Macaca fascicularis: one gene and its partner. The protein of the gene in region 2 binds, or shares a complex with, the protein of the main gene of each other region. Links are inferred from orthologs where the notes say so. Each region holds a gene or a part of one and is shown on either strand. Other genes may lie near its edges.

Region 1 (4,423 bases), on a different chromosome or scaffold from region 2:
GCCTAGAGCGGACAGAGGCAGTGGGACACGCCAGCTCTGTGCACATAGCTGGATACATGCTCAGAAGAGACCGCCCATCTCAGAGCTGCAGAACAGCCTCAGAGGAAGAAAAATAAAGTCCCAGGGGTTAGCACAACGAGGCTCTGCCAGGGAGATGGCAGCATGACTGAATACTGGTACCTCACCACTCCGGGGGAGGGGGCGGGGGTCACGGGCCAGCGCACCCCCTGCGCCCTGGCTGCAATGCAGGCTCTCAGGCCTCGCCGTGGCCTGGCGCTGGTGCCGTGGGAGAACGCCCTGACCGCAGCCTGGCCAGGCCCCCTGTGCACCAAGCCCAAGCCCAAGCCCCATGCCCTTCCTCTCCTGGCTCTGTCTCCTCTAACAGCTGAGTCAGAATCTGCATTTTCACCAGCTCCCCAGGTGGTCTGTGTGCACATTAGTTCGGAAAGTATTGTTTTAGAAGACAGGCCTCTCCACTTCTAGCCTGGTTTCTTCCAAAACCAAATAAATGTTTTTGTTCCCCAGGTATTGTGTTCTGTGTATGTTCCACAGTGCCGCAGGGAAGGCAGTGCAGACAGTGTAGTTAAGAGTACAGGCTCTGAAGTCAAACTGGTCCATCCAAAGCCAACTGCCAAGGGCTGTCGGGAAAATGTCCTGAGATACGCGAAGATATGCCAGCAAGGCTCTGCGCCTCCTTAGCTGCTAACATAGAGATAATTGCTGGGATGGTGAAGGGAAGAGCCCTTTGAGGCACTGATATGTAAGTGGAAAGATCGATCCTGGGCCATGATTTTGGGGGAGAGCACTCTAGGTAGAAGAAATATAAAATGATCAAGGGAGGTAACAGATGAGATCTCATTGCTCAACACTTCTAAGGCAGCCTTAACTGAAGTAAAAGCCACTGAGGCCAGTGTGAGGCGCTCTGTGCTTCCAAAGCTCGCTCTGGTTATGGTGTGTGGAATGGGGGAATAGGGTGCAGGGGGAATAACGAACAAGGAGGCTCCCAAAGTGGTCAAGGCAAGAAGTAAACATCAGCCGGGACTACGGCTGTAAGAAGTAGTTTGTTCTGGATGTACTGTGAGGAGACAGCTGATAAACTGGATCAGGAACTTAGTGGAACAAGGAACTAAGGAGTAAGTCAAGAGGACACTAAGAGGCAGATAGGACAGGGAGGTGGCTGGACATGGATGGCTGTTGCTAGGGAGGAGCTCTGGGCCCAGGACCAAGTCAGTACCACACTTTAAGCTCCCTGAATGGAGGGATAAAAGCTTCTCTTTCCTTCAGAGTCCTCCGCCACTGTAGAATCTGCACGGAACACAAGCTCAGTGCATATCCACAAACAGCATGGAAGGACAAGATGGGCCAGAGTTTCTGAAAAATGGCGATCCCAATGCTGGTGGCCATTAGGTAAGGATTTGTAAAGGACCATCTTCTCTAAGGAGCTGGGAGGAGAATCAAGATTCCAGGGCTTCAGAATGGGTATATGAGGCGGTCCTGAGACTCTTTCAGGAAAGGAAAGCAAAAGGCAATCAAAGCAGCCCAGGCAGGACTGCTGGAGACGTGGCAGCAGATGGACGCTGTTCCGAGAAGCAGGCACCTGGTGTAGCAGGGGAAGACTCTGCAAAGCTAAGGGCGCTGGGGTGTCTCACTCCCCTCCTTCTCAGGGTGCCTGGGGATGGCCACATGCCTTTGGTGGTTATGAGTGGGAATACGGCTAGAGATTTTCTCCTTTCTAACACGGATGCAAGCTTCCAGAATGAAAGGAGAGCTGAGAAACCGCCCAGAGAGAACAACCATGTTCCTCTCTCAAGGACAGAACCTAGCACACGATGTTGCTAGCGTAAGTGGATCCAGTCCAGCTCTCACCGCTCCCCACACAGAGCTGTCTCTACAAAAACCTCAAACGTAAAGAGAGCAAAACCCAAGCCCCAGGCCTCCCAGGCCAGGCCTCTTTGTTCATTCTTTACTGACCACTCGCACAATGTCGTGGGTTGTGGAGACCCAAGCATTAACCAGGCACGCTACCCACAAAGAATCTGTGCACTGGCACACCACACAGGGCACATGCATACAATGACAGAAAGCAAACGGGGCCGCCCCAGAGACCCCGAGACAAGCCGCAGGGCGCCCACCGTTCTCCCTCCCTGGTGCTCCCACCGCTTTCTGTCGAGTCTGTGGGCCTGCCTGACTCCACGAACTCAGGTAAGGCACCGCGTCTCGCCCAACGTCTGCACTCCGCAAACGCCTGTGAAGGTGTCCCTGAAGGTGAGGGAAATGGCTCTGCTGTCAGAAACCAGCGTTCAAAGCCCCACTTGGCCCCGTCTCGGCTTTGTGACCTTGGGCGCGTCACAGCCTCTCTGAGCATAGGTTCCGACAGGTGCCCGACTATAAACCGGCAGCGTCGCCCTCCCCACCTCCGGGGCCTTCCGGGGTGCCGAGCGGAGCGAGCAGGTCCAGTGCTGCCTGCGCGCCCGATACAGGAGAGGCGCGGGCCTTCCTGTGCCCTAGCCGGGACCCGGCCCCTGTCGCGCTGCTCACCCAGTTTCCGAAGCCGAACTGCTCGATGGCGTCCAGCAGCAGCTGCTCCTCGCGACTGGTCCAGCCGCCCTCGGCCTCGGGCCCCCAGAGCGTGAAGCGCCCGCCGTCCACCAGCTGGTAGCCGTGGTAGCGGCGGTGGTGGCCGATCTCGGCGCCGGCCGAAAAGCACTCGGGGCACAGCTCGATGTCCTGGCACTCGGTGCAGCGGAAGCGCAGCGGGCTCACCTCGGCCAGGCAGTACACGCAGTACTTCTTCCCCAGCTCCGCCATCTTCCCCTGCTCGCCGCCCGCCGCCCGGCCCGCCGCAGCCGCCGCGCCCCCGGCCGTCAGCGCCCCGCCACCCGCGGGACCCGCCGCCGCCGCCGCGCACAAGCAACCGCCGCCCGTCGCCGCGGCTGCCGCCACCGCGGCCCCAGCCCAGCAGCCGCCGGAGCCAGCCAGCCGGGCCGCGTCCCGCCTCAGTACGCAGGCGCCGTCCGGCCCGGCCCGGCAGCCGCCACCGCGGCCGCTGTCGCCCCGCCGCATCGCGCAGGCGCCCCGCGGGCGCCACCTTGCGGACGCCCGGCCCACCGCTCTGCGCCTGCGCGCACCCCGCGCCGGCCGCCGCCGCCTTTCCCAGAGCCTCCTGAACGCCCCGCCCCAGGCCCAGCGGTGGGAAATGGGCAGGCAGAAAGCCCGGCGGGGACGCCACGCCCCTCGCGGCGAGAGCCCACGGCCGCTTCCAATCAATCTCGCCTATCGCCAGCTCGCGGCCTCCCATTGGCTTGCTCTCCGGGGAGAAGAGGCTGGACGACGGCCTGTCGCCTGGCCAATCGCCGGGCCCAGCGCGCGCGCCCTCGGTTGCCCCGGGAAACCTAACAGCATGCTGCCGGGGTCCGCTGCGCTGGCAGAGCCGGGCGGAGATGGAGGGCGGGTCTGAGCACACTAAGGACCCCGGCGGGGAAGGCGGAGACGGGGAAAGCCTGGCCGCGCGGCCGTCCAAGATCAAGGCCAGCTCCGGCCCTCCGACCCCTCCCGAACCCGGGGAGCTGGAGTCGGAGCCAGAGGAGGAGGAGGAGGAGGAGGAGGAGGAAGAGGAGGCTTCGCAGGGAGGCACAGCCGCGGACGAGCAGGCCAAGGCCCCGAAAGAGCTAACGGCAGCCGAGGCTGCGGGCGAGGAGGGGCCTGGAGAGCCGGGGAGGCCGGCCAAGCCCCAGCCCGAACCCGAAGAGCCGGCCGAGGCCGGGGCTGAGGAGCCCGTCCAGCCGAAGTCCGGAGCCGGGCCCGAGGAACTAGATGCGGAGGCGAGGGCGGAGGAGCTGGAGCAGGCGGCGGAGGGCAAGGAAGTCCGGTCCCAGGCCTCTCTGCCGCTGACCAGGATCGGCGAGGAAGAGGCTGCTGCAGCCCCGGAGGCCGAGACAGAGCGGGTGGAGGGGGAGGAGGAGGACGAGGAGGAGACACGGAGAGACAGCGCGGAGAGCGAGGGGAGGGCTGGGGAAGGACGCCCGGCCAAAAGCCAGGAAGAGGGGAAGCCCCTCGGTGGAAGGGACGAGTTTGAGGACCTGGAGTGGTCCGAGGAGGTCCAGAAGCTACAGGAGCAGCAGCTGCGCAGCGACCTCCTGGACCAGTACCGTTCCCTGCTGATGGAGCGGAACCGCTCCCAGCGCTACAACCTGTACCTGCAGCACAAGATCTTCGAGGCGCTGCGCAAAAAGAAGGGCCTGGAGGCGGCGGAGGTGCCTGACCGGGGCGCACAAGCAGAGGCCCCCGAGAAAGAGCAAGCGTACCTGCGCCATCTGGGCATGCTGGAGGACCTGAAGAAGCAGCAGGCAGACGACCTGCAGTGGTACCACCAGGAGCTGGGCCAGTTGAAGCAGCAGTGCCAGGAGAAGCTCTCAAGAGTGGA
Region 2 (3,043 bases):
AGCTGGGAGAGCAGACCCTTCCCCAGAGCCTGGGGAGAAACCCACCCTGCTGGCACCTGTGGCCCCCAGAGCTGTGGGACGATCCGTGGTCCTTTGTCACGGCAGCCCCAGTGGGGCAGTGCAACAGGTGTGGGAACAGCGGCAGTGTCTCCAGCAGCACTTGTAAGTAAACCTGTATTATCGCTGTGGCTCCGTCACACCAGGTGGAGTGAATGTCATGACGGGGGACTGACTCCAGTCGCATCAGAGACCGCTCCCAAAGGCTCTCCAAGGTGCTCAAAGGCAGGGAGTGGTGCGGTACACATTGGCGCTGAGTCTCTGAGGGCCCAGCAGGAGCTGCAACCTGTCAGGGCCAACCTGTACCACAAACTGCCCTGGAGACGCCTTCTCTCGCCACAGGAGGTCTGCGTCAGGGCTGGGGCCCTCTGGGCACCTCAGCCGCGTTTCTGTGTGCATCTCCCCCTGCGCTGGGCCTCCCCCCGCCCCTCCTAGCTGTGCCCAGCTCATCTCCACCTGTGAGAGCAGAAGATGTAAGCGCAGTCTCCAGCCCCCGGACTCCACGCACAGGGCGGCTCAGCCCCTGTCCTCACAGAGAAAGTTCTTTCTCCCAGCTCTGCTGGGGCTCAGCTACAGATTCCAACAGGTGGCTCAGAAACCAGTGCCTCAGCAGAGCCAGAGTGCAATCTGGCAGCAGAATCTAAAACTGGAAAACGGGGGAAAAATAGGCAAAACAAATACAGATAAATTTGTTTTTAATAAAGGAGTTAATTTTCTTTCAATCCTATATAAAACAATAGCAATTAAAAACTTCATTTTTGAAAGTAAAATATTTACATATGAACAAGTAACTGTGCAAAATTTACATGAAAAAATGGAAAGACAGGGATTTCCTAAAAGACAAAATAAAAGGTGTAACAGTTCTCAGGTGTTGATAAAAAATACTGATCAGCGTTCAGTTCACACGCGCTTGAATTAAAGTCTAATGTGAGAATTCACACGGAGAAAGCCGGAGTATTTACAGTCATAAAAGTACTATCAATAGACAATTTCATACAATAACCTCTGAAAATAGAAAGAACCAATTAGTATATTTGTAATAAAAAAATAGGTACAAAGAAGGGGCTTTGCTCTGGACGTCTGTAAAGTCGGCCCAAGGCTTGCATACAGTCTCTTAGCAAAATAATTATAGTTTACATAGCCATTTCTATGTCATGTGCCAAAAGTTATGTACAATTACTGACAAAATACACCAACCATTTTTCAACACTTGATTCACACCGAGAAACAGTCTTTTGATGATTCTTCTCAACTTTGATTTTATTTAATCTAGGTTTTCACTTTTAGCTAAAAAACACAGTGCAAGTAAAATATATTTATGCTGAAAAGGTTTTCATCTCTTTTAACTTTACAGCTTTACAAACTATAGCAAATAAAATGCATTTGTACAGATGCTGACCACACATTCAGAAGGAGCCCACCTTTGCTGGGCCCCGCCTCTACCAAGCAGAAATTCGATTACACTCTGAGGTGGGGGTGCTACGATGAATTGTATATTCCTCCAGGATTCTCAGCGGAGCGGAGGGGAAGGGAGACGAGGGGAGGGCTGGGGGGAGAGGGGAGGGCTGGGGGAGAGGGGAGGCGGGGGGGGGAAGAGGGGAGACGGGGAGAGGGGAGGGGAGAAGAGGGAAGGGGAGAAGAGGGGAGGGGGAGAGGGGAGGGGAGAAGAGGGAAGGGGGAGAAGAGGGAAGGGGGAGAAGAGGGAAGGGGGAGAAGAGGGAAGGGGAGAAGAGGGGAGGGAGGAGAGGGGAGGGGAGCGGGGAAGAGAGGAGGGTGGGGAGAGAGGAGGGTGGGGAGAGAGGAGGATGAGGGAGAGAGGAGGGTGAGGGGGAGAGGAGGGTAGGGGGAGAGGGGAGGGGAAGGAAGATAAATAGTCTAAAAAATCAGTTTGCTTTGCTAACTGACTATTACAAAAATAAAATAAAATGAGGTCATCGGCTGTAGACATACACCTACACAGTAAGTTAGGTAGAACTAAACCAAAATGCACAAATAATGCAGAAACTGCTATGAGTTGACAGAGGGCAGCTAATTATTTGCTAACGATTCCATCAGTCTTTATATATGGCTTGTTTGGCAAGAAGGCCACTCAATCAAGATGAGTTAAGATTTAATTGTCCTTTAAGAGTATCCACAGGCCTTTGTGTTCTCTCTGTTACAGACACGTATTTTCTTTCACACTGAAGAGTTGATTTAGAAACAGGAAAATATAAAACTGTTCCATCGTAAAGAGGTGGCTGTTTTTTAAACAATATCCCATTTGCTTGTTACAAAAAGGCGTAATCTGCAAATATATAAAAAGTCCCCAGGCGTCCTCCTGTGTCACTTAAGGAATGCTTTGTAGAGCAGCAGTGAATGGCTTGTCTCACGTTCATTTTCTAAACAAAATATGAGGTCCCTGAGGTTGACCCGCGTGATTCTTTGTCGCGTGAACTGTCTGGGGGCTCCGACCCCCGAGCTGCCTGGGACCACCGAGCCGGGGCCCGACCCCTGGTGACAAAAACGGAGAAGACAGGGTGTTAGTGGGGCCCAGAGTGGGGCTTGAAATGGGGGCCTGTGTGTCTGAACCAAGTACCCCGATTCCAGAGGAGGCCAGGCCTGGCATGGGCTCCCTCCGGTAGGCCCACAGCTGGAGCTGAGGTGCTGTCCCAGGGCCCTGCCAGGGCAGGGGCAAGGGCAGGAGGCCTCATGCTGCGCCTTCAGGACAGGGCACACTCAGACACTGCCCAATGCCCCACAGTGCTCAGACCTGCTCCTGGGGCTGAGGATGGACCAGGGGGTGGCACCCACCCAAGGCAAATGTCTGAGCGGCCCCAGGGCCACCCTCCATGCAACCACAGCTGGACTGCATGTGGACTCAGCTGGGGTACAAAAGCCACACTGGGTCCCTGTGTGTCATCCTGCTTGGCTGCTGAATTCCCGCACTGGGAGGGCTGGGGTCGGCTGGGACTGGGCATGCTAGGTCAGCTGCGAAGGCTGAGTTGCT

The links.
Region 1: TAF4 (region 2) and TADA2B share a complex: the UniProt entries of both Homo sapiens proteins name them as parts of the TFTC-HAT complex. The link is inferred for Macaca fascicularis from reciprocal best matches to the Homo sapiens genes TAF4 and TADA2B.

Annotation. Positions count from the first base shown.
Region 1 is NC_088379.1:6,047,057-6,051,479, forward strand, and holds the start of TADA2B (transcriptional adapter 2-beta), read right to left. Parts: upstream 3,065-4,423; 5' UTR 3,064-3,064; coding exon 2,539-3,063; intron 1-2,538. Other genes in the region: CFAP184 (cilia- and flagella-associated protein 184), read left to right, coding at 3,441-4,423. UniProt on the Homo sapiens protein: Coactivates PAX5-dependent transcription together with either SMARCA4 or GCN5L2.
Region 2 is NC_088384.1:118,023,402-118,026,444, forward strand, and holds the end of TAF4 (transcription initiation factor TFIID subunit 4), read right to left. Parts: intron 2,548-3,043; coding exon 2,380-2,547; 3' UTR 738-2,379; downstream 1-737. UniProt on the Homo sapiens protein: The TFIID basal transcription factor complex plays a major role in the initiation of RNA polymerase II (Pol II)-dependent transcription.